4 linked regions of the Arabidopsis thaliana genome follow. The protein of the gene in region 2 purifies or fractionates together with the protein of the main gene of each other region. This does not show direct contact. Each region holds a gene or a part of one and is shown on either strand. Other genes may lie near its edges. The genes, in order: AT4G24820, MCM6, EIF2 BETA and PKR2.

Region 1 (6,219 bases), on a different chromosome or scaffold from region 2:
TTTCTGATATCAACCATCATCAACTTCTCAACGCCAGGATGTTGGACCTAAACATGTCGTAGCACATTCAGAAACCAATTAAAAGTAGACTAGGAAGATTTCAGTTTTCTCCTCATTATTCCTCACCTTTACAACAACATCCCTCTTGTCACCCTTTACTCTTGCTCGGTGTACCTAGATAGAAGCAAAAAGAAAGTGAAATACAGTATATATTGAGACTTTCTTAACCAAACTATAATCTTATCTGATTTTATAAGCATGCACGGTAATACTGTACAAAGGTTCTGAAACTATGAGTGATGAAGAATGTAGTACCTGAGCAATAGAAGCAGAGCCAAGAGGCTTCTCATCAAATGTTTCAAACACTTGTTCGATGCTTTTACCTAACTCTTTCTCCAGGACAACTCGAACGGCATCAAATGGTGTGGCAGGAGCTTGATCACACAAAGTGACGAGTTTTCTCACCCAAGCAGCTGGAGCCAAGTCAGGTTTCCCTAGAATTTGTGCAATCTATTGAACAAAATGAAAAAAAGTAAAAAAAAAAAAAAAAAACTCATCATAAGCAACTGTGAACAATCAAAGAGTAAAATGTACAACCTTTATTCTCATCAAAGAAACAAAAAAAAAACTCATACTTTTTGTTACAACAAGATTTAAGATGAGTAATTCATAACAATCCCAAACGTGGAAGTCCCCTCTGGTAATCACAAACCTCAACAACAGTCTCAACACACCATTACCTTAAGGAAGAAACCACCAAGGTCAGAGCACATAGAATAAACTTTATGAGCAGCAAGTTCATGTTGTCTCTCCCACATCTCCTCGTGCTTATTAACATCCTTGACGAAGTTCATACGAAGTTGAAATACCTAAAAGCCCAGAACAAGACACAGATTGAAAGAAAATTGCAGAAAATCATAAGAAAAATGTATTACAAAACGAAACATGAAGAAGAAGAAAGGAGTACCCATCAATCAAAGAGAAACCTTGTATCCGGTGTAGATATCAGTGGCACGAGCCCAGAACTGAAACGATCGTTGCCAAGGCCGGAATCCATCAGAGAGCTTCTCCTGAATCTCTTTGAAATCGATCGCATGCATTTTCGAAGTTTTGAGGAAGAGTGATAAGGATGAGAGGATAAAGTTAAGAATTGTTTATGTATGGCGTCAGAGTGGAGTTTGCTGCTCTCTACGAATCCATTCGAGAGTGTTAATTACTGTTTCGTTAAATTGTAAAGGAAACAAAATCCGTTTGTCTTATGTCACACTCACTGTGAGTCACTGGTTATAATTAGGCAGGCAATAGAAGATAAGGTACTAATCTCCTCAAATCTTAAAGTAGTTTACAATGATGGTCTTGTTACTAACCCCAGACCATATCAAAAAATTTAGGAAAAAAGGAACTTACTAAACAGTAAGAAACAAATTGTAAATCCTATAAGTGTGATGGTGAAGAATCTCACCTAATTCACTAAACAGACGTCCGTGGAAGAAGAATCTGCAAAATACCAAGTTACCAACTACTGTGTATGTATCTCTCACAAGTTCAACCAAGGACTGTCCTTTAGATGTATCTAATTTGTGTTCAATTCTAACCATTCAGATTATGAAGTGTACTAATGCATTTTTCTTGGTATATCTATATGGTCAACTAATACACCTTGTGAAACAAAAGCTTTATTTTGTAAGAGGTATGGTGGTCGTTTTCTCTTAGATACTAGATAGATGCGATGAAAACAACAGATTCAAAAGCCATATGCGAGGAAGAATAAAATGAACATTGGAGATTAAACTTGCTCTTTGTTCTTGGGAAATTCACCACTGACAAACCAACTAGAGTTGATGAAAGAAACTACAGCCATTCATCTCAAAATCCAAAGTTCATATCGTTTCTCAGACCTTAAGATTCTACCGTTCGGAGTTTCCAAGTTGCAAAGCTTGACGAAAGAGTGAAACAGAAACATGTAGCATGCTCACAGATCGATCACACGAGACAGCTTCTGGATTCGGTTTAGCAAGAAATCCCCTTGCTTGATTGTTGCCTGGTAAAGTGCATTCTTTGCATCAGGACGGTTTGTCTCCAAAACACCTGCAACCTTGTCTATCTTACAGTGAAGCTTCCCAGCAGCAATGAAGCGCGACAACTCCCTGGATAAAAAAAAAAATACATTTCAAGTCAGATTTAAGTTTGTATTATCGTTTTTTTGTATGCTTCTAAAGAGAGGTGGCAAACATAAATATACAAAAGAGCGTTCATTATTGTGCTTACTGGTCTATGAAATCGACAGAAACGCCAAAGGCCTTTGCCATTGCTTCAACTGTCACACTTTTGTAAGATTCCAAAAACTGAGAGTACACCACTGTTCTGACTTCCCTCATGTAGAACCGGAAATGCGGGTACAAGTAACGGTCATACTTTATCTGCACCGCCATTCCAGCTGAGAACATAAGCCGACAATGAAGTTAGTAAACATACAGACAAAAGCCAAGCAACATGCATTCGGATGTATGACCTCTGGTCCTTGTAATGAACTTACCAAATGCTGAGAAAAACGCCTTGTACTGGCACTCATACAAGGAGTTCAGAAACTCAGAAAGGAATGGAATCTTCCCAAGCACGGTTAAGATCTCAGGTGCATCAACGACCTGTCAAATTAGTAGCACTTGATAAGAATTTCAACAAATTACATGGATATACATCATTTTAATAAGTCGACATACTAAAAAGTTTTTATCTAAGTTTAGACAACTCTAAGTGGAAGACTGAGCCATTGAGAAATACCTTTTGCTTAAGGGAAACTCTGTCCAAAGTTATGATGCTTGTCAGGACGGTGTAGAATATGAAGGTCTCATATGGAAAAATTTCATATGTTGTGAAGGTTGATATAGAATCCAGGAATAAGCTGGCAGCCTTCTTAAAATTTCTGGTGGACATGCAGTACAAACCTTCATAGACCTTTAGCCGGTTCTTCCTCTCCCAGTCACCACCCTCTTCAAACAATCTGGCAAGGGAAAACGGAAAGTGTTAATTCAAGGATTTCAGTTGCACTATCCATGAAGAGTAGTCAAAATACAGCCAAATTGACATTTACTTTTTTGCTTTGTCAATGCTCTTTGATACCAGATCAAAGTCCATATAGAAAAAAGCAAGTTGTAACGTATAAAACACCACGTCCATTTTTTGTCCAACAGCAACAGTTTTCCCTTCAGTGAGTTTTAGCTGCTCCAAAGCTTTCTCCTAGGATTACAAAACAAAAATTTAATGGCCACGATCCACGGAAGTTACCATAACTATCAACTTTGATATGCCACATACCTTATCACTAATCCTGATGAAATACAGAGCCTTAGCAAGATGAGCTTCACGAACTTCACTTTCACCCAAATTTTCTTCTGCATCTGCAATCCTGAAAAAAGTGAAAGAAAAGAATATGTAAGAGAACTTTGGCTGATAACATACTGGTTCAGAAGTTTCTACAAAGTTAAAGCGGAGGCCAAGATGGACTCAGAAACCAATGGTTAGGTAATGGTTATCTCCCTAAGAATACTAAGACATCATGCTACATCAGCTACCACAGGAACATGGAGATTCCCAAAATTCATAGTGGACTTTTGCAAACACAATTCTGAATCCAATTTGAGACCCAGAATGCTACAGTCCCCCTACATCAATCTAACCCAAAATACTAATACGAGAATTCGAATTTCAAAGCACTGCCAAATAAAAGTGAGAAACTGAAGGAAACTTACTTCTCGTCGAGCTTCTTAAGCTCCTCTTCATTAGCGGCCCGCATAGACTCTAACAAGCTTTGATCCAAATCCAGCACCGAAGAGGCAATTAGGGTTTCGTACAAAGGAGCCATACCTAAAATAAATAAAAACACCAACGAAACATCAGGAACATAAAATCTCGAAGAAATATTAAGCTAATTCTCACTGATTAGAGAAAAGGAGCTGCTTAACCATGGGATCTGATGAAATCCAAAACCTCAGACTTGAGCTGGACTTTCTCGATGTCTGGAACATCTGGATGAGTGAGGAGGAAGAGCTTGTTGGCTAGAATAAGGTGAGGCTGCTGAGATCCTTCCGCTCCACCGTCCATCGCAAATCGGAAAGCTTGAATCGGATCTGAGAGAGAGAGAGCAAATATATAAAAAGAGGTTTGCTTGAGCAAGGAGGAAGAGCTTACAAAGATTTCAGGTCCGATGGTTTTTTTTTTTTGTGTATGTAAAAAAAAAATAAGTTTCGCATTACCTTAAACACCCTTATCTTTTTTTACATTTAAATTTGGAATTTTTACCATAAGAAAAAAAAGTAAAAAACATTTACATTTAAATTCTCGTTATAAATAATTTAAACTTAAGATCGTTGAATTCAAGTAATGGATATTTATATTTTATATCTCTTTCCAATGGAAATCATAAAAGAAAGAGGCACTCATTATTAAATTTCTCAAGTTTTTCCAAAGTGAAGAAAGATGATAGAATTATTTCGAAAGAAGCTGAAGCTATGACGACGCATCACAATAAGGGATGTGTTCTAATGTCAGGCTCTCAATTCCAAGTAAGACATGAATGAAAACCATTTCTAGCTAATTTTCTTAAGCATAGCTCTAATTTTCATTGGAAGCCCGTAAAGACGAATAAACCCGGCTGCATCCGCTTGGTTGTAGATCTCACTCCCTTCAAACGAAGATATGTCCTGTCTATACAGACTGTTAGGACTCTGACGCCCTGTAACCGACACAGATCCTTTGTACAGCTTCAGTGTCACAGATCCCGTGGTTGTCTCGGTTATCTTCTCCATGAAAGCGTCCATGGACTCCCTAAGCGGATCAAACCATCTTCCTGCGTAGACCATCTCTGCATATTTCAGTGCTAATGTGTCTTTTACCTGAATACTCTCTCTGTCTAGAGTGAGGGATTCTAGTTCCTGTACAGCTGCAAAGAGGATAGTGCCTCCAGGAGTTTCATACACACCTCGTGATTTCATCCCAACCAGACGGTTCTCAACCATGTCAATCCGCCCAATCCCGTGCTTTCCTCCTATTGTGTTTAGCTCGGCCAGAAGTGTGGCTGGACTCAGAGCCTTCCCGTTCAGCGCCACTGGAAGTCCAGATTCTATCCCGATCTCGATGTATCTGTATAAGTGTGTAAGTATCAAAAGTTAGGATGCAAATTGCAAAATCCTACTCTTGGTATCTAAATTTGATAGCATAGCAGCTAAACCAGTTAACTCCTTTGAGAGACTTTAATAACGAGAACTCTCTATTCTAGATCTGATTCCCAATCCCAAACCATAAACAAATCCTGAACACACCAACTCATTCTGCCTAAACCTCAGCTCTGTAGCTAACTGACTCAACTTTAGTTTTCAAACTATCAACACAGCTATAATCCACTACAAACCACCTTGGGGTAATTACAGTGCATAGTTAAACACAAGGGCTCAAAGAAATTCCAACTTACTCAGGCTGATCAGGAGCATCTTCAGGATCCACACTCATCATGTACATATCTTTCTTTGGCTCGTTTGCTGGATCTTCCAATAGATCACCCTTTCAACAAAACACATAAGTTTGATATCAGAGCATGAGACACATTATTAGGAACTGAGCAATGTGACAAACTGGATCAATTTGTATCCAAAAGAAAAATGCGAACCAACACTTGTCTTTTACTTTACCTCATGACTAAGGTGCCACAGGTTTCTGTCCCGGCTGTAAATGGACTTCTTTGTCACTGGGACGGGAACATTATGCTTCTTTGCATACTCAATAGCATCTTCTCGGCCTTGGATTTCCCATTCTCTCCATGGTGCCACAACTTTAAGTTCAGGGTTTAATGAAAAGAAGGTGAGCTCAAACCGAACCTGGTCAATCAATCAGTACAAAAAAGTAATGTAAGAATCAATGCGTGTTTTCCAATGTGACGCATTAGCAAGACATTCCAAGTACTTGCCTGGTCATTTCCTTTTCCAGTACACCCATGTGCAACGGCATCAGCTCCAACCTCTGCTGCTACATCAACCATGGCCTAATCATTTAGAAAATGTATTAGTGACAATATGTAATCCAAAAGATATATCCAGATATTAGAAATAGTGGGGGTAGTCCTCACAAGTCAATCATATAAAACCATTCGAAATGTTACCTTAGCAATGACAGGTCGAGCCATGGAGGTACCAAGCAAGTATTTTCGTTCATAGATGGCACCAGCTC
Region 2 (6,706 bases):
TATGTGTTTGATTCTCATACATATATGACTTTTTGTCTTAATATTAAAAATATGTTGAATTAGTATGGAGAAGGCTATTTATTTATTATTATTTTTTGGTAGAAGGAGAAGGCTATTTAATTAATCAAACATAACGTAGTATTTTCTTATAATAAATCACAGGGGAATTGTTAAAAAATGTCCATTTCTCAATACCACTTTAAAAACTTTCTCAAAACAATACCTCTAAAAATGATAAATGATTTGGGCTAAAATGGAGACTTTATTTCTTGTTTTTATTGAATCTTAGACATCTGTCATTTAGACAAAAAAAAAAAAAGACATCTTTCATAATATCTAGCCAATTGGCAGCTTGAAGATTACCGCATTTATGCTTAACCGGTTCATCAATTTCGGACGCGTATTAGATGTTTACTATGCAGAAGATGATGCCTTCAAACACCACAAACGAAACTTCAAGATTATATCCATAGATCACATACACTGTGTATGATACACATTAAAGAGTTTAGTGATTTGGGAATATCATTTTTTTTCCTTTTTGGGTTTCGATGAAGTTTACAGAAAATTATAATCCAACAAAATTAGTTCACAATGATGAAAGATTTAAGGCTTCTACTTATGAGTTCTACAAATGTCTTACACTTAATCACATCACTCAATAACATAGTTTGGAGCAACAGCTAAGATCCTCTCGTCTCTTTGTGAAGATTTTTTCTTCGTTTCCTCTGCTTCTGCGGCTTCTTCTTGCTCATTAGCTAACACTATAAGATGACCTTCTTTACATACCAAACTCTGTGCAATGCATAGCTTGTGTTAGATAGAAACATCATTTGAAATAATTTTATTCTTAACTTCTATGATTGTTTTGGATTTTTACCTCAATGATGGCTCTGAGTTTCTTGATATCGAGTTTTACTTGCTCTTGCGAACTATATTTCTTTTTCTCATTCTGTTGATCGATGAACCATCGAATCAGTTCCTTTTGTCTAATTCCAGGCAATTCAGAACCTAAAGGAAAAAAATTGTTTTCAATAGTTGAGGAGAGAAAATGAAAAGTATGGAAAATTGAAGAGTGTTGTTGCTTACTGTCTTTGTTTACAGTTTCTTCATGTTGTCTAAGGCGAATGACTAAAGCCTGTGTGATTCTATCATATTCTTCCTCGCTAATCACCAGCTTTTGAGCTGCTGCTCCATTATCTGTTGCTACGTCATATGATGTTAATTATGATTCTTTCTTAAGTGAGGCAGAGAAAAAATGAAGAGCACAAACTGTGCATAAATACCTGCAGTTGCAGAAGCTGGCTCAGCTGCACCATTCTGTTGATCTTCCTCTCCATCAACAGGGTTTTCAATGTCATCTGTGTCGTCCATGTTGTCACCATTAGCATCTTGGTACTCAGAAAGATCGATATCGCCTGACTCAACACTGGATAAGAGAAGCAAGTATGGTTGTTTACGGTTAACATTTTGGGAGAATTTTAGGAGATAAAAATATTTTTTGAAGATGTTCGAAGTTACCTGATGACTGAAGTCTTTAGCAGTCTGACAGCTAAAAGAACATGACTTGGTTTAACCTGAAAGAAAAATAACAAGTTCCCAGATAAATCAAATCAACTACTGGATACTGGTAGAATAAAAGAAAGGAACAGAAAAACGTTTTAGGATTATCTCACCAGAATTTCCAAATGACTCCTAGCAATGGCTTCTGAGAGCCTGATCAGTGCCTCTAGCTGCCTAACTGTCATTCGATATGCGACTCTTGTACCTGGAGTTGTATCACCTCTACGAAGAGCAACATAAGACTCGACAAGTAACTTTCTTGCTTCTGGGCTTAGCTGCAACACAACAGATGAATATAGAGAAAAGATGTTAGCATCTCCAGCAAAAGAGCCTTTAGCAATCAAAAACTTTTTTCGGGTTAGTCAACAACCTTTGGCTTTAACGTTTTGGCATATGCAATGTAGCGCTTGAGTTGTACGGTAGTGAATTCAGGAGATAGCGCTGCTTCATGCTTCTGGTGAACTCGCACAATATGATGGGCAATGTGGTAATCCGTTACCTCATCAGGGTCATCAATCATAACGTACACAAGATCAAACCTCGAAAGAATGGCAGGTGGAAGATTAACGTTATACTGAAAAAGAGCATGATCAAACCACAATTAGATATAAAACCTTCCATGAAAGTTCTTAAGCAAAGAAAGGAATACAAATATGCATCTGTTTGGTCTAATTCTTGGATCACCTTACCTTAAGTGGTTTAGATTTATCATATCGCCCACCAACAGGATTAGCTGCTGCAAGAATTGATGTCCTAGCATTCAAGGTTGCTTGTATACCAGCTTTTGTAATGCTTATCGTCTGCTGCTCCATTGCTTCATGAATAGCAACCTTTGTGCCCAAATGCAATAATTTTCATCAAACACACTCTAAGAAACATAATCGTCTGTATAGTAACAAGCAATGATGCTGACTTACCTGATCTTTGATATCCATCTTGTCAAACTCGTCAATGCAACATATTCCATTGTCAGCAAGCATTAAAGCACCAGCCTGTTGAAGAGTCAGATAACCTTAATTAGAAAAAGAGCATAGAAATCAAATTTACAAAGAAAGGCTATCCTTCTTTAAAGCGGTTATAAAGTTTAGGTAACTTGAAAACTCTAAAATTACCTCAATGCAGAATTCACCAGTTTCCGGTTCTTTTGCCACAGTTGCAGTCAACCCAGCTGCAGAAGAGGACTTCCCAGATGTATACACAGATCGTGGTACAATACCTGCGGTATACCTGCAAATAACAAACCAAAACTGAATGATCAGATTTCAGAAAAGGAAAAAAAAACAGACAGCTTTGATTTTCAATGAGAATCATTACTTGAGGAATTGGGATTTAGCACAGCTGGGATCCCCAACTATACAAACATTGATGTCTCCTCTAAGGTTGATGCCTTCATGAGTTGTCTTGTGCACACCGCCTAGAAGCATAAGTAGAACTGCACGTTTGATGTCTTGATGACCAAAAACGGTTGGGGCCATGCTTCCAACTAACTTATTGAAGTAATCAGGAGTATTTCTCATCTGCTGAATTTCATCTAACTCTTCTGCCTGCAAAGTTTAAATAATCATGTAAGAGAAAAACCAGGATGCTGCGGTATATTAACTCTTAAGACTTATAGGTAGTTTATTTCAAGCCTCACCGTGAACTGCTGTTGATCATCTTCGTTAGAATCATTTTGGCGGTTCCTCATGTCAGTGTTCCTACTACCATCAGCAATCTAGAAAGAAAAAAACATTGATATTGATCAACTGGTATCACTTAAGTTATGGCTTGACAGATACTAAAAAGTTGACAAACCTGCACTGAATTAGCGATAAAGGCAAGCCGATACGAAAGATCTCTAACTCCTAGAGCCTTGAGACCTTGAACACCTTCATGTCCAGCAGTAGAGCTTTTCTGCTGTGATGAGTCTCGACGACATTCTGCTCTCTCTCCAGGTGCTGCCAGTGCTGATATGTCAGGTATAACAACTACTGTTCCCGTAAAAATAACCCTGCGAGAACAATCCCAAAAGGAGTCACAATCAAATGCAAACCCTTTATTATTATAATGATGGAAGAAATAACTTAGAGAACTGACACAAAACGAAATCTTACGTGTCACCCGCTCTGGCCTGTTCCACAATCTCATGACGCAAAATGACATCCAAAGACCGTGGCAAGGAACCTGCAGGTATCTCTTTTGAAGTCTCCTGCATTCTAACCCTTTGCCAATCCGCAAACTTACTTTCTTGTCTAAGCAACGCCCATCTTGCTCTGTTCAAACAAGTCGGGCTCACACAGATCGTAGGCTGCAACAAGGCCACAAATCACTCAACAAACCAAAAGAAAACAAGCTACTACTTCTTCCTACTACAAAGTGTATAAAAAAAAACACCAAAAATCAAAGAATCAATTACCTGTGTATACTTAAACTGTTGTTCAACATTCTTTATAACACTACCACAATCTAAACACTTGAAAGTCCCATATAGAAGCTCAGGTCTCACTTCACTTGTTCGAGTAACCACACCTGTCACCGACACTAACTTTCCAATTTCTGCCGTCGTTAACTCCCTCAACCTACAAAACCATCATCATCACAATCACCACACACTAAAGTTAAGCCAAAATATTCATAACAACTACTATAATATCAAAATCATTAATTAGATATTTAAAGGTGTTACCTTTTAGTGAAAGGAAGATTGTAGAAAGAAACATTGATATCTTTATTTGGAGTATCATCAGAAATGAAAGAAGGATTCATTTCAATCACAAATCTCTTACACGCATTCCTCAAATACGGCTCAAACCTAAAACCAAAATTTCACACACAAAAATCAAAAAACCCCAAAAATCAAAACTAGGGTTTTAGATTAATAATCAGCAAATTAGAGAAACAAAAAAACAAAACCTCAAATATTCATCAGCTATTGCTTTCTGAAGAGCGTCATTAAAACCCATTACATGTGAGAAATCAATGTACATCATTGTTGATTCACCACCTCGAATCGCTTCAATCTCTGCTTCGTAATACAACTCCGGCTTGTTCGCATCTAATCGAAAACTGAAACCAAATTGAAACCGAAACTGATTAGAGCCAAAATTGAAAGAAATTGGGGGAAACAAAAAGCCCAAAAACGCAAACCTTTTCAGGAATTCGAGGAAGACATTCTCGACTTGAATCGCTTGTTCATCCATTACAAATCCACCAAAAGCTTCCATTTTTCAAATTCTACCTCACTCGAAATTTTCCTCTTCACTACCAAAAACTGTTTGCGACAAAAACCCTAAAATCGTTTGAACGGAAAACAAAACCTTTCTCCACTATGGGCAAAGAAATGGCGAGCTTGTTGTGGCGGGAGTTTTAGGTGGGGTCCTCTAACATTTTCCCGCTAAAAAGTATAGCGATACGTGAATTGGGCCTAAACTTTGGGCTTATATATTGGGCTTATAATTTGGACCTTTAAAATGGACCTTTTCAAATATATATTTGATCAAGACAACCATGCTTATTCTAAACTCTAAAGATAATCGATTCTGGTTATTAAGAAAATCGATAGAACAAAAAAAAGAAAACGAACCTTCACGAATGTTTTGCTATTTTTTCTTCATTAGAAATACAACTTGATAAGATCATTTGAATGTTCTGTTTACTAATTATGAACAAGTAAAACTTAAAAGATTTGTTGTTATACTATCTCTATCTTATACTTCTCTATTTATAGATTAACATAACAAATTGCCATAACAATTCTCTTGCCTATATAATTCTGAGCTCTATTCATCTTTTCACAACAAACCAAGTTTCAACAATCAATCATAAAAATGAGAACTAAATATTTTTCTTTGCTAGTGTTTATTATTGTCTTGGCTTCTAATGAAGTTATAGCCAAGAAACACTCTTCAACACCTAAATTAAGAAGAAGTGATTTTCCAAAAGATTTTATTTTTGGAGCTGCAACGTCAGCTTACCAAGTCGAAGGAGCTGCTCATGAAGATGGTAGAGGTCCAAGTATTTGGGATACATTCTCTGAAAAATATCCGGAGAAGATAAAAGATGGTACCAATGGATCTATTGCAAGTGATTCTTACCATCTTTACAAGGAAGATGTGGGTTTACTACATCAAATTGGTTTCGGTGCCTATAGATTCTCTATCTCGTGGTCGAGGATCTTGCCACGTGGGAATCTAAAAGGAGGTATCAACCAAGCTGGTATTGACTATTACAACAACTTGATCAATGAGCTTTTGTCTAAAGGAATTAAGCCATTCGCCACCATTTTTCATTGGGACACACCGCAAAGCCTTGAAGATGCTTACGGAGGATTCTTTGGCGCGGAGATTGTGAATGACTTCCGCGATTATGCGGATATTTGCTTCAAGAATTTTGGAGATCGAGTGAAGCATTGGATGACATTGAACGAACCATTAACAGTTGTGCAACAAGGATATGTTGCTGGTGTAATGGCTCCTGGAAGGTGTTCAAAATTCACAAACCCTAATTGCACCGCGGGAAATGGAGCTACCGAGCCTTATATTGTTGGTCACAACCTCATTCTTGCTCATGGAGAAGCAGTCAAAGTATATAGAGAAAAATATAAGGCATCTCAAAAAGGTCAAGTTGGTATCGCTTTGAACGCGGGTTGGAACTTGCCTTATACCGAATCAGCTGAAGATAGATTAGCTGCGGCACGAGCCATGGCCTTCACATTCGACTATTTCATGGAGCCGCTTGTAACCGGTAAATATCCGGTTGACATGGTCAACAACGTAAAAGACGGTCGCTTACCTACATTTACTGCAAAACAATCTAAGATGTTGAAAGGATCATATGATTTCATTGGCATCAATTATTACTCATCTTCTTACGCTAAGGATGTTCCTTGCTCAAGCGAAAACGTTACATTATTCTCTGATCCTTGTGCTAGCGTCACAGGTGAAAGAGAAGGAGTGCCTATCGGTCCAAAGGCAGCATCAGATTGGCTTTTGATATATCCAAAAGGAATTCGTGATCTCCTTCTCTATGCAAAATACAAGTTCAAGGATCCTGTCATGTATATAACAGAGAATGGTAGAGATGAAGCTAGTACCGGTAAAATCGACCTTAAAGATAGTGAGAGGATCGATTACTACGCTCAACATTTGAAGATGGTTCAAGACGC
Region 3 (4,721 bases), about 11 Mb from region 2:
ATAAAAACCAACCTGTTTGCGGAGAGAAGGAGAGGAAGAAGAGTAGTGATCACGGAGAAGATTATGAATAGAACAAACGGATGCTTCGAATCTCAGCTTTTTGTTCAGCTGTTTCTGAAGATCATCAAGCTCAAGCTTCAAGCTTTCCTCGGAAGGAGACGGTGAAGACGATGCATCCATTCAGAAATTTATTTCTTAGAGTTAAGGAGAATACTCAGGGGTTTCGAATGATTTTGGGGATTTTGTAAGAATGATGCAAAAGAAGAACCAATCTCTTGTCTTCTGGGATTTTTGTAGGAGACGAGTTTTCTTGATCAGGAGGAAAGGACGAAGTCGGTCGGTTAATATAGTTCAGTTCGGTTTGGTTCGGTTCAAGACCAAAAGAACAATTGTTAATTACCAATTGTTCGGTTTGGTTTGAGACCAATTTTTTGTTGGTAAATACTAAATCGTATGCGGCTATATTAGACCAAACCGTATACATTATTTGTTTTTTGTAGTATGATTGTAACTGTAGATAAACATAGTGTATATTGGACTTTCTGAGCCTTCCACGCTTTAATTTGAGATGTTGAACGCAATGCCTGTGGACGTTAATATCATTAGTCTATTAATTTTGAACTAAGAATAATCTTAACACAAAAAAGAAGTCCATGGATTTACTAAATCAACCTTCAAGGTGACCACATGAACCTGACAGAGTAAAAGGTTTTGATCCTATCCCATTTTAAAAGTCAAGTCATAATCATATTCCAAAACAAAATAAAAAAAACAAGACAAGTATTTCTTCAACTCATAAACTCATACAGAAGCAGTAGAATAGCTCCAAACTCCATACCAAGGTCACTTCACCTTCTAATTTCTCAAGTCTTCCTGCGACTAACACGAGCAACAAACCCTGTTTTGATCGGAGCCACAGATCGTTGAGATCCACACTGCAAAAACCATGTAGCCCACTCGTTAATCACATTAGCAAATTCAAACACACAAAATACTTTATTACTTTGTTGCGCAGAAAGTAAAACTGTAAAACAGAAACAAAGGAATGCATATCAAGATCAGGACTAATTAGATTAACTTATACCTTTTCACATCTCAGAAAGAAGAGACGGTTCTCCTTGGAGAGAATGGTGTCTGGGCTCTTGCAACCAAGGCAAATGACGTAGTCAGCTGAGAAATAATAAAACAAGAGGTTAACAACTCCAAACTGATATACTTTTATGGCAACTTAAATTTTGAGACTAAGAAGAAAGTTACTTACTGATATATCGCCGCAAAATTCCTTCAAAATTCTTAGGTGCAAACCTTCCCTTAACAACCAACCTTTGCTGCCCATCAAGCGAACCACTAGTACCCAACTCAGCAAGCAAGTATTGCATAACATGATCTGGTTGACGATGCATCCTGATTTTTTATATGCAGATAAGACATGTCATCGAAAAGTCATCAAAATTAAATGGTAATATTACTTATGGTTACACAGAAAAAGTTTGAAGAGGAAGATAAAGAGTTAGCTCATACGTCTTGCAAAGGTCCATGAAGTTGACAAAGACAGTCTTCTTTGTCCCCTCACGAAGAACTTGAGGAGGCCTCATAACTGTACGACGCCTATCTCCAGCAAGCTCCGGATTATTTTCACGGAGAATGTTAAAGACTCTACCAAGAAGCTGCATATATAACTCCCGTCAGCAAAAAAACAAGGGAGCAAGATATTTATGAAGGATTAAAACAAAAGAAATCATCGAAAATATAGTCACCTCGTCATATATGTAATCCCTCTCACTTCCCTCCCAGGGGTAACGTTGCTGTAGAACTATTCCTTCTTCCCCCTCTTGCTCGTCATTAGCAATCTCTGCAATATATTCTCAGTAAGATTCAAACAGGATAAAAACCCCGCCAAGAGAAAAGGTATATTAGCAAACAAAAAAAAAGGATATTAAAAGTACCATCCAAATCTTCCCCAGCATCAACACTTTCGTTGTTCAATAAGCTTGATTCAGTCTAAATATCAAACAAGAACAAATGTGAGTCACAGAATCATCAAACACACAAGTTTAATGACATAAAAAAAATACTAGGCACAAAACGTAAAACAATACTCACTGGCTTCTTCTTCTTTTTCTTCATTCCAGTAAATGAACTCTCAAGACCATCATTAACTGCAAAAACAAGGAATTAGACAAAGTAACACAAAAGACCATTGAAACAAAAAAAATGTTTCACATCACATTGACTCTTCATCATACATACCAGGCAATGAATCAGATTTCTCAGTCTGTGAAGACTCTGCTAAGTCCTCGACAGGTTCCTGAATCACAACCTTCTTCTTCTTTTTCTTCTTGGAAGGATCAAAGGGTGCGAGCTGCTGTAAAAGGATGAACCAAAACATAAAAACCATTCAATCATGAGTTCATCAAACAAAACAAAAAAAAAAATCTATATGGCTAACTTGAGCCCTATCATTAAGAAACAGAGAAAAAAAACAAACTTACTTCTTGCTCTTCCCTTATCTCATTGATTTCATCAGCCATGATTGCAACTGAGATACAAAACGAAAACACACAATGATAATAAGACCTCAGAAACCAAACATATACATATTAGAATCAACATAATCTGTAACAACGATGAGCATAGGCAAGTCCGAAATTAGGGTTTCTAAATCAGAGAGGTAATTCGGAACGCAACAAAACCATAACGAGATTCAGAACAACTTTTCGATTCCCAATAAAAAAAATACCCAAATAAAATGTACGACAAGGCTTCAAATCAGAAACGGAACAGCTAGGTTTACCAATCTGTTTATACTCAATTCTTCCAAAAACACGATTTACTCTGAGATCGACCAGAAGAATTCGAAAAGGAATCGAAGAAAACTCACAAAGGGATGTCTAAGCGCTGAAATTGGCGTAGAGAGTAAACGAGGTTGCTTCGGGAGGAATCTGAGAGAGAGTAAGCGGCGCAGGGGTTGTTTTAATCTGAGATAAGAGTTAACCCTTGCTCCTCCAAAAAAATAGTCCATCTCGAATTGTAACTTTTTTTTTTAATTCAATAGTAAAAGGTCTCTGTAAATATTTCATTTTGCCTAAACCTTAATATTACATTTTTACTTTTTTCTTTTTCTTAACGCATGTTACATTTTAATTTTATCTATTAATTGACACTGAGATTCTCATTTATTATTTTATTTGTCTTAATTAATTAATCAATTGAAATTTTATCAAATCAATTTTTTTTTTTTCAAATTAAGATTTATTTCTTATTAAATTCTGTGAATAGTAAATTATATAAAAATGTTATTAAATATAAATGAAACTAGTAAAGAAAGAAATCAGAATATATTTAGTGTCAAAATTAATAGTCTAGCATATCTTATTTTACTATAAATTACTAAATTATATTATTTTATTATTTAATATATTAAGTATTTTAGTTTGTTAGATATTCAGTAACAAAATTTCCGCAAATGCATTAATTTTCAACCGCTAAATTAATCGTTCAAATTGTTTAATAACGCTTGAGACGGCAACCGCCTACTTCCGCAAATTCATATAGTCATAATCGGATTTTAGCGTTTAAACCACGAGTCTGGCCTTAGATCAAAGAAAACCCTACTTATAGTCAACCCTAATCCATGATACCAAATGGAGAAAAAAAAAGAAAGAAAAAATGGAAATTTCCCAAATTAACACACCCATAACTCAAACTTGTCTCAAACCTCAGATTATATAATTAGGCTAAAATCTGATAAACCAAAAAATGTATCAGAGTGAGTGCTAAAGAGAACTTTGTGTTGACCTCTCTTTCCCTCCTAATTCCTTAGGGTTCCTCGATTTTTCTTTTTCACCGAAACAAAAACCTTATTCCTCCTTCTCTTTCTCTGTCTATCTTTCTCTGTACGTTTTATTCACTTTCCTCCACGTGGATTTGCATAAAAGCATGAAAATTTGTTGATGGGTTTCTCTTCGACATCCAGATTCTAGCTTCCAATTCCGTAATTCTCCGTTAAAAAACCCTAATTTCTCGAATTTACTCTGATCTGTGTAGAAATTAGGGAGTGAAGTGTCCGCAAGTGTTTGGCAATGTCGGATGACATGGTTTTGCATTTCTCCTCGAATTCTTCTAATCAGTCGGATCACTCTTTACCCGACAAAATCGCCAAGCTTGAGGCCCGCTTGACTGGTAAGACCCCTTCCTCGGCCAAGCCACCACAACAACAACAACAGCAGCAGCAGCAGGTCTCTCTCTGGTCATCTGCTTCTGCCGCTGTCAAAGTCGTCACTTCCACACCGCCGGGATTGTCCGAAACCTCTATCAGTGATTCAGACGACGAGGTAGCTTCCGATGTTTGTTTCAAATTCTTTTGTTTATGTCTATGCTATGATTCTTGTGAGTCTAAGGGTCGTTGCTAATTGAATTGTTGATGTCCCTATCCTCCTTGTATTGATCAGTTTGTGCCTAAAGATTGATCAAAGTTGTATGCAATGCTGGCTACATATCCTGGCATTGCAGATGCATCTATATTTCTTTCTTGAACAAGAAATACAGTCTCTTTTTTAGCTAGATCTCATTCTCCTTGTTACTGTCTCAGAATACTGGAGATTTCCTAATCCGAGCAAATACAAAAAAGCGCCAGAAAGTTCAAGAATCTAACAACTTCAGTGTTGTTGATCATGTTGAGGTATTGATTTTTCATAAAGAGTTTTCTTTTAGTCTCTTAT
Region 4 (7,883 bases), on a different chromosome or scaffold from region 2:
CGTTGAAGGGTTCTTACTTGGAAACAGCAGGAATCAGTATCCTATCATGTTCTTCCTTAGAAAATGCTCCATTTCTCAAATTGTACTTACTGATGACGTAGTTAGAGAAAACAGGTGCTGTCGGATGGTTGTCCAAAAATTGACACTGTCACATCAAACATTGAGAAGTGAGCTCAAACAAACAAGAGAGGACCAAACCAAATTTTATCAAACGAGAAACTTTCAGATATATAAACCACATGCAAAAACTTTAAGAAAGAATGCAATGAATCTTCTCAAGTTTTGGTTCGGTTACTAGTGCTAATAAGTAACTGTTTAAATTCCATAGACACTGGAAAATGGTAGGCTTACCTTCTCCTTTACTAGCATCATAAAAGTCATGCTCACTAGTAGCTCGTCACTGCTTATCCCTTCTTTGGGAACTCCATCTGCATAGACCATTGCCGTAATAACTTAAAAATATGATAACAGAAATAAGCAATTGGATATATCTAAGAATACCAACAAACATATAATCAATAAAGTGATAAATTACCTTTAAAATTTGTAGAATTATCGGTAGGGTTTTCGGCAATGTGTTTCAAAAATAAGATTCCATACCTGAGAAACAACAAATTTAACAAGTGTCAATGAACAACTGTTGGTTTTTGTAAAGCAGCTGAAAATAAGAGCATAAATGGCTTTAAGTCGTCAATACTTATTTATCTCGTCATAGGTCTTCATGTATAAGGGATTAACAAACTCCTTCCAATCAAAGTTTCCAGCTCCATACCTACAAAAGTTGTTTTGAGACACTTATGATATACTATGATGCTTTGAGAGACGCCAAACCACAATTTAGACAACATTATTAGAAAGAAGATATACCTCTTAAACGTACGTAAAAATATATCCCTCTCAGTCTCGTTAAATCCCAGCACCATGAGATATCTCCCTTCGCCTTCCATCAAAGGTATTTCCTCCGAATTATCTTACAGCAAAATAGATTTTCAAAGTTACTTAACTTGTAAACCTCTGAAACCAACAAGATGTCATCTTCAATGCAATATTTGGAAAAGTATAGTACCGCGAGCCCTTTTTCTGTAAGGCCTTGTAACCGTCCTCGGCTTTCTCTGTCGAGCTGCTTCGGGTTCATCTGCTTCCTCCTCCTCATCAGAGGTCACTTTTAAATCATCAAGACAATATTCGTCCTCCTCATCAGAGATTTCTTCTAAACCATCAAGATCATCTTCAGCATACATCACCTAGTAATATTAACAAAAGCAGGAATAAGAACACTTGTGCTAAAGGACATAAAACGATTCTGGAGAGGTGGGATCAAGAAGAGTATACGTACCTGCTTGCCGTTTCTCTTCCTCTTTCCAAGAGCACTGAGCTCCTCAGCTTGTTGCACTTCATATTTGTCTTTCAGCAAATCTTTCCAGTGACTTGTTCTATCAGCATTTCTTACTGAAGAATTGTTTTCTATAGCTTGTGCCTCCTCTAATGCTGCAGCCTCATTTTCATCATCTACATACTCAAAACTAGCCACCTAATATACAGGAAATAACATCAAAAAGAGAAATTATATTTGGAATTAATGCCACTAAATATATGTGTATAACTTAATATTGCAGGAAAAAAGGGTGTATATATATGCATGCACATGCACATGATGATTCTTGTAGCATATCCATTGAATTATTACTCTCTAAACAATTCTCTGGACCTTAACAAATATTGGATCATCTGATCAATAACCACTCATCTAGAAAGAGAAAGAGAAAGAAGTAAACCTTGAAATTCTTTAAAAAATCAGTTTCCTCCTCATCATCCAGTGAGACCTCCACAGCATCTACATGATTACGATCTAGCAACCTGCAGAAGAAAAGGTGTGGCTACAAATCATGAACATTCCATGCAATTGTATGGTGGCTTTGAACTATTAAAGTAAAATCACTAGGAAAGTAAAAACAAAGAAAGAAAGAAGAATATATTACTGTTCGATAGCAGCATCATCGTAATGGATTTTTCCAGACCTCCCTGCTTCATCATTCTCTTCAGAGAAAAGTTCCTTGGAACCATATTTGATGATGTCATCTAACTCGTCCTAATTACAGTCAGGGATAGAAAACAGTAATTAATTAAACCTTGTAGCAATAAGAATCAATAACAAATCGAACAAGGAATACATATATATATATATACCTGACAAAGATGTTGTTTTCCCACGACGAGATGCTCTAGAAGCATCTTGTTCTTGGTTATCTCCATCATCCGTTCTTCTACAGTACCTTTGTGAATCAGTCTGTAGATCATTACCTAAATAAGAAAATATAGGCTTAATCAGTGACATAGCTAGAAAAAGAATGAAATAGCAAGTGGATGATTCCACATTGACGCCATGAAAAGAGAACCTTATTTGTTTGGCCAAGCCGATGAACTCTAGCCATAGCCTGGAGATCAGCATGAGGATTCCAATCACTACAACACCAGTGAAAAAATCATGTCAATAAATTCATCACAACCATCTTAAATGCCTCTACAATATCTTTCCGCTATTAACTTAGAAGATCCAAACACTCTGTTATTCTGGAAAGAAACTTCCAACAAGCACTTTATCATTTCATTAAACAGATATTGGAACTCAAACCTGTCATAAATGATGACTGTATCAGCTGTTGCAAGGTTTATCCCTATTCCACCAGCTCTTGTACTGAGCAAAAAACAGAACCGGTTCGAGTTTTCTGCATTAAACCGATCTATTCTTACTTGCCTCTCAGGTCCACTGATCTTTCCATCAATCCGTTCATAATTCCAATTCTGACAAAATAAAAATAAATTTGTTACGGCTCAATATCATACAATAGTTTTTCCTTAATTGCATATAAGCAAATTATAAAAAGAAAGTTACTGTTCCTTGCGTCTCAAGATATATTAAAAAGTAACTTTTAAGTGGAAGGAAAAGATTATATCGCAAGTCATTTGCAGAGCGACAACACCAACTGAACAAATCAATAGGTCGACAAACAGATATAGCAGATTAGGTTACCTTGAAAGTGAAGTAGTCTTCCAAAAGGTAAAGGGTGTGTTGGAATTGGGTATAGATTAGCACTCTGTGCCCCTGCTCTTTGAGTTTGACCATCATTTTGTCTAACAGTTGCAACTTTCCGGAAGCTTCCAATAGTTTTCTTTAGAACAATTCAGAAAAGGTCAAGCAAAAGTCAGCACAAAATACTAAAAAGGAATCAATACGTCAAGATTAGTGATCAAATGTTACGTAAAAGCTTCATTTGCGTCTTCAAATCTTGGCTCAAAGTCTGGTAACAGATACGGATGAGAGCAAACTTGGCGTAATTTCATTAGCACGTTAGATATCTGAAACAGTTTAACCAGCCGAATTATCCTACCAAGTACAGTCTAAAAGGTTCCTAAACCAAGACAATATATATACATCTGCATAAGCACAAGAGATCCACAAAACTTACTTTAGCATCTCGTTTCTTTGTCAAGACTTGATAATTATTGGTAATAACAGCTTTGTACACTTCTTTTTGCTGGCTGCTCATATCAACACGCAAAATGAGCTCCTTCTTTGGGGGCACCTTATCCTTGAGCACGTCTTTCTTTAACCCTGCAATAACAATAAAAGCAAGATTAATCACCATGGTTATAGTTATCCCTTGGTGCGAGACTTCAAACGAAATGTTCTTAATAAGATTTGTTGGTTAATACTTCTGAGCAGATGCGGAGCCAACATTTGGTGGAGTCTTGAAATCTGCTCCTCTTTATTTATATCTTGAAACTTCTCCAAACTCCCAAACTGCAAGCATGGAAAATAAAATAATTAAAGCAAGCTTGTATGCTTATAATGACTATTTTAGAGAATAAACTAAACTTATTTTATATGCGTTATCTTTTGGCTAACCTTGTCCGCATCAAGAAAATGCATCAGAGCGAAAAGTTCATTCAAGTTGTTCTGAAAAAACACCAAATAAGTATTAGTGATACAAAAGAATTGATACCATAATAATTATAGTACTATTTCAGAGATCATAACTAATTAGGTAAACTTTAATGTAGGATTGAATGAACCTTGGGAAAGTCGAAGAACCAAAAATCGACTAACGACGAACCTGAAGTGGTGTTCCGGTCAACAGAACGATATGCTTACTTGTAAACTGACTCAATGAAGAGTACAGCTTTGACTTCTGATTTTTCAACCGATGGCCTTCATCAATAATCTAACCAAGAGAATGATATTCTAAGCAAAATATGAGATCTAAAAGAAAGACATACAAAGTATATAGTATCATTCAGATAATTAATACAGAAATACCATGCACGTCCACTTGATTGGACTCAGAACTGATATCCCTGGGTGAACCATCTCATACGTCGTGAGCAAGACATCAAACTTACTTTTACGCCCTTCAGAGAAGTAGAACTCATGTTCCCATATAACATCACGTGCTTCCGAATCCCCAGTGTACATAACCTGCATATATCATACGATGAAAACATTAATAAATAACTAATACCGTATATGTGACATATATATACGAAACATGATACATACCACATTCATATGTGGTGCCCAGGTGGCAAATTCCCTCTCCCAGTTACGGATGGTTGAGAGAGGAGCAACAACTAGATGAGGAGATAAGTTTTCCTCGAACAAAGAGGCCAAGAAGGCAATGCTCTGAATAGTTTTGCCTGCAGCAACCACAAAACCAATCTTATTTTACACAAATGATAAAAGCAAAGCCTATGAATAACCCCAAAAAAGAAATGGATTTTTGAAGACGTACCTAGTCCCATTTCATCCGCAAGGATTACATTGGTTTTCTTGGACCATGAATACCTTAGGAAATTCAGCCCTTCGAGCTGGTATGTATGCAATGTGCCTTAAAAACATATAAGGTAAGTAAATCAATAACATTATACAGAAACTGTATACAAATTGTTCAAGTAGTCTAATAAAATACCTGTAAGAAATTCAGGAGTAAGATCAAACTGTTTGAATTCCTCTCGATTTCTCTCATTTTCGACATATTTATCTCTACGAGAGCTAGAGTTTATATCCTTAAACCTTTGGATTTCATTCTGGAAATCTGAGATGTCAGATTCAGATTCCCAGTAACTATTTCTGTAAGAAAGTTCTTTGTACTTCACCAGATACTCCTCCCCATCATCTCCTTCCCTACATCATATCACAAACAAAAAAACCATAATTGTCAAAACGAAATCCATTAAGTGTCACACTTTTCTACACAGAAGATAGAGAAAGAAATATAAACGCATGAATAAATAATCACAAAGGAAAAAAAAAAAAAAAAAAACATAATTGTCACAACGAGGTCTATCAAGTTAAGGACATAAAAACAAAGGACAAGACTTGAATCACTTAACCGGCAAGCAATAATCCGGTCAACAGTTTTCCATTCAGGACGAATGGCGATAAACTCATGAGCTCCGTTCTCAGCGATGAATACGTCCATAGCAGCGTTAAACCTGGTCACCCTTAATTTTAGTTTTAAATGAGGATGGGACTTGTAAGCCTTCTCGAACTCCTGCTCGGGCACCCTAAGAATTGACATTAATAATCAAGTGATGATAAGATAACCAGACAAGAGAAGCAACAAAAACATAATAATCGACATGTTTAATTAAATACAACACGATATCGCATATTGCTGGGAATTTACCAAGAGCAGTGCAAGTACGATAACCCCTTCCACTTCACAAGATATTGTTTCACGACAACTAGGGTTGGTGTCCCGTTGTCAGAAGAATTCGGATTGTTAGATGCAGTAGGACGCCATTCACGGTCCAAAATCTTTTCAATCTCGCCAAGAGGACAATCCTGAAATGGATCAAATAATTAAAAGTCACTGCAGATCTATAATTTCACAACAAGACAAAGACATACCTGGTTACTTCCGCCTGTTTCTTCAACTTGTTCTTCACGAATGTATTCATCCAACTTGTCTTCAATATAATCTGGCTTTGGCCCGGTTCGTCTACGAAGCCTTTGCAACAGATTAGCCATTTCTCTGCATGAAAAAACCACAACAATGTGTTTGGTCAGTAAATATGATTCATTAAATTTTTAGATAAAATCGTAACAAGAAAGAGTGAAAAGAGAAATATCTCAGAAAATCTAAGACCAAGGAGGAGCGTACAAGATGAAGAAAATGCAAGGGAGCTAAAACGCAAGAGGGGTGATTCTTAAGGATATGATAAACGTCTGTTTATATATATAGAGAGGGAGTGGTCATTATTCTTTATTTCCTTTTAATTTTGTTTTATGGAGATAACACTACCTTTTTTTGTCAATTTCAATGTAAAGGTGAATTAATTTGTAACCAGAAGGGGATGCAGATGTAGTTGTGGCTGTGAGAAATTTTTAGAAGTGAGTCCTAGTGGTTTTTGTGAATGAAATTGTACCTAAAACCGTTAAGATTACGCGGCAATTTTGAAATTTCAACAAGAAATTCGATGATGATTTAAAATAAAATTATCAAAATAACCATATATTGAATAATTAAATATTTAAATATCATTAAAACAAAAAGTTATTTTATTTTATTAGTATAAAAAGTTGTTTGATTTATTAAGTTTCCTTGACACTGGTCAAACTATAAATTTATATGCTTACCAAAAAAAAACTATAAATTTATATTGTATATATACATTTATGTAACATAATTAAAAAATATATATCATATTTAGGGAAGAAATTAATTTAAAGTTTTTTTTATTTAAGATTCTTTGTCTGAATGGGTTGACCAGAAATAAGATTTAAATATTTAGTTATATCTTTAGTATCTAAAGATATGTGTCTGAAAACAAATAAATGAAACTTAAATAAAAATCTATTCAATGCAATATAATGTGATTTGTTTCTATAGAATAAAACAAATATTAAAGAGAGGCATGCAAATGGTAAGTATGAAAAAGGTTATAAAAGAAGAAGGAAATAAAGATTAGATTCATGCACTGTAATTTTGTTTAAAAATTAGCATTATCTTGAGTCTTGACCACAAAACCAAAATTAGTCGTCCGTTACAAATTGGAAAGGGATTTGGTTGTGACCAATAGTATGAAGATGGTTTACTTAGTTTCCAATACTCTATGGACAAATGGTGCATTTTTGTATTTGTTAGTTTTTTTAAGAGGTCCACATTTCAATTGATTAACGCTTTTTAAATTAACTAACACTTAAAAAAAGTTTTGTTACAAAGTATTATATAGATTTTAATTAATTGTAACAGCAAAAGCTTTCATAGCTCAGTTGGTTAGAGCACCCGTTTAGTAAGCGGGAGGTCTTGAGTTCAACTCTCAATGAAAGCAAATTTTTGTTATTTTACAATTAAAATCAGTTTTGTTCATTTTTATTAATCTTTAAAATAGATATGGTGTGAATGTTTCTCTTTATGCTTGGGCCTGTGGCCCTTTTTGGGCTTTGAAAAGCCTTGTAAGTTGACATAAAATCACGCTTATCAATTAGAGAATTATTAAAATATCCACCGAAATGTTTTCGGTGATAATGGGCTTTGAGTGCGTACCAGTAAAAGAAGGTTGAGACTTGAGAATAGCAATTAGCAGCGATCTGACCAAACAACACAACACAGTTAAATCATTCTCGAATACTTCCACTGGATGTCCACTGTGCAGCATGAAATTTGCATATATTTATTTTTAATTGATACAAGTTATTTTAGATGTTTATTGTATTTTTTTTGTAGAGCCATCCTAAAATAACCAAACCTTACGAAAAATAAATAATACAGAAACGTATCCAAAGGGGTTCTTACTCTTTAGAAAATTACTGAAATCAATTGTAGAAGAGCCTAAACATTGATTTAAATTTTGGTTTCTCGGTGGTTTTGTTGGACCAT

What was found.
Region 1: the proteins of MCM6 (region 2) and AT4G24820 purify together in Arabidopsis thaliana (affinity purification with mass spectrometry, with the first as the bait; one large-scale study listed by BioGRID). This does not show direct contact.
Region 3: the proteins of MCM6 (region 2) and EIF2 BETA purify together in Arabidopsis thaliana (affinity purification with mass spectrometry, with the first as the bait; one large-scale study listed by BioGRID). This does not show direct contact.
Region 4: the proteins of MCM6 (region 2) and PKR2 fractionate together in Arabidopsis thaliana (co-fractionation; one large-scale study listed by BioGRID). This does not show direct contact.

Annotation. Positions count from the first base shown.
Region 1 is NC_003075.7:12,788,499-12,794,717, forward strand, and holds AT4G24820 (26S proteasome regulatory subunit Rpn7), read right to left. Parts: upstream 4,225-6,219; 5' UTR 4,102-4,224; coding exon 3,963-4,101; intron 3,865-3,962; coding exon 3,750-3,864; intron 3,407-3,749; coding exon 3,316-3,406; intron 3,238-3,315; coding exon 3,092-3,237; intron 3,002-3,091; coding exon 2,782-3,001; intron 2,646-2,781; coding exon 2,537-2,645; intron 2,438-2,536; coding exon 2,269-2,437; intron 2,148-2,268; coding exon 1,973-2,147; 3' UTR 1,819-1,972; exon of another isoform or gene 1,571-1,818; intron 1,294-1,570; exon of another isoform or gene 1,101-1,293; coding exon of another isoform or gene 987-1,100; exon of another isoform or gene 870-986; coding exon of another isoform or gene 741-869; exon of another isoform or gene 553-740; 3' UTR 532-552; downstream 1-531. Other genes in the region: AT4G24810 (Protein kinase superfamily protein), read right to left, coding at 1-47, 127-174, 316-510, 741-869, 987-1,100; AT4G24830 (arginosuccinate synthase family), read right to left, coding at 4,587-5,139, 5,468-5,556, 5,685-5,870, 5,960-6,034, 6,152-6,219. UniProt on the Arabidopsis thaliana protein: Acts as a regulatory subunit of the 26S proteasome which is involved in the ATP-dependent degradation of ubiquitinated proteins.
Region 2 is NC_003076.8:18,005,777-18,012,482, forward strand, and holds MCM6 (minichromosome maintenance (MCM2/3/5) family protein), read right to left. Parts: upstream 4,767-6,706; coding exon 4,690-4,766; intron 4,609-4,689; coding exon 4,456-4,608; intron 4,355-4,455; coding exon 4,229-4,354; intron 4,122-4,228; coding exon 3,959-4,121; intron 3,851-3,958; coding exon 3,657-3,850; intron 3,554-3,656; coding exon 3,358-3,553; intron 3,278-3,357; coding exon 3,200-3,277; intron 3,108-3,199; coding exon 2,878-3,107; intron 2,791-2,877; coding exon 2,676-2,790; intron 2,556-2,675; coding exon 2,481-2,555; intron 2,394-2,480; coding exon 2,253-2,393; intron 2,138-2,252; coding exon 1,934-2,137; intron 1,839-1,933; coding exon 1,677-1,838; intron 1,578-1,676; coding exon 1,522-1,577; intron 1,430-1,521; coding exon 1,287-1,429; intron 1,201-1,286; coding exon 881-1,200; intron 796-880; coding exon 655-795; 3' UTR 519-654; downstream 1-518. Other genes in the region: BGLU13 (beta glucosidase 13), read left to right, coding at 5,370-6,706. UniProt on the Arabidopsis thaliana protein: Probable component of the MCM2-7 complex (MCM complex) that may function as a DNA helicase and which is essential to undergo a single round of replication initiation and elongation per cell cycle in eukaryotic cells.
Region 3 is NC_003076.8:7,094,131-7,098,851, forward strand, and holds EIF2 BETA (eukaryotic translation initiation factor 2 beta subunit), read right to left. Parts: upstream 3,016-4,721; 5' UTR 2,882-3,015; exon of another isoform or gene 2,741-2,881; intron 2,540-2,740; 5' UTR 2,532-2,539; coding exon 2,493-2,531; intron 2,366-2,492; coding exon 2,251-2,365; intron 2,160-2,250; coding exon 2,104-2,159; intron 2,002-2,103; coding exon 1,947-2,001; intron 1,853-1,946; coding exon 1,758-1,852; intron 1,668-1,757; coding exon 1,522-1,667; intron 1,405-1,521; coding exon 1,262-1,404; intron 1,171-1,261; coding exon 1,085-1,170; intron 936-1,084; coding exon 864-935; 3' UTR 519-863; downstream 1-518. Other genes in the region: AIP2 (RING/U-box superfamily protein), read right to left, coding at 13-180; TSL (Protein kinase superfamily protein), read left to right, coding at 4,083-4,334, 4,592-4,681. UniProt on the Arabidopsis thaliana protein: Component of the eIF2 complex that functions in the early steps of protein synthesis by forming a ternary complex with GTP and initiator tRNA.
Region 4 is NC_003075.7:15,429,676-15,437,558, reverse strand, and holds the start of PKR2 (chromatin remodeling factor), read right to left. Parts: upstream 6,032-7,883; coding exon 5,912-6,031; intron 5,846-5,911; coding exon 5,688-5,845; intron 5,676-5,687; coding exon of another isoform or gene 5,606-5,675; intron 5,566-5,605; coding exon 5,392-5,565; intron 5,183-5,391; coding exon 4,968-5,182; intron 4,887-4,967; coding exon 4,791-4,886; intron 4,696-4,790; coding exon 4,559-4,695; intron 4,478-4,558; coding exon 4,319-4,477; intron 4,224-4,318; coding exon 4,116-4,223; intron 3,959-4,115; coding exon 3,908-3,958; intron 3,803-3,907; coding exon 3,715-3,802; intron 3,614-3,714; coding exon 3,468-3,613; intron 3,358-3,467; coding exon 3,260-3,357; intron 3,171-3,259; coding exon 3,032-3,170; intron 2,803-3,031; coding exon 2,633-2,802; intron 2,464-2,632; coding exon 2,397-2,463; intron 2,302-2,396; coding exon 2,188-2,301; intron 2,090-2,187; coding exon 1,980-2,089; intron 1,858-1,979; coding exon 1,776-1,857; intron 1,532-1,775; coding exon 1,337-1,531; and 13 more. UniProt on the Arabidopsis thaliana protein: Chromatin remodeling factor that represses the expression of embryonic trait genes upon and after seed germination and thus enables the developmental switch to post-germinative growth.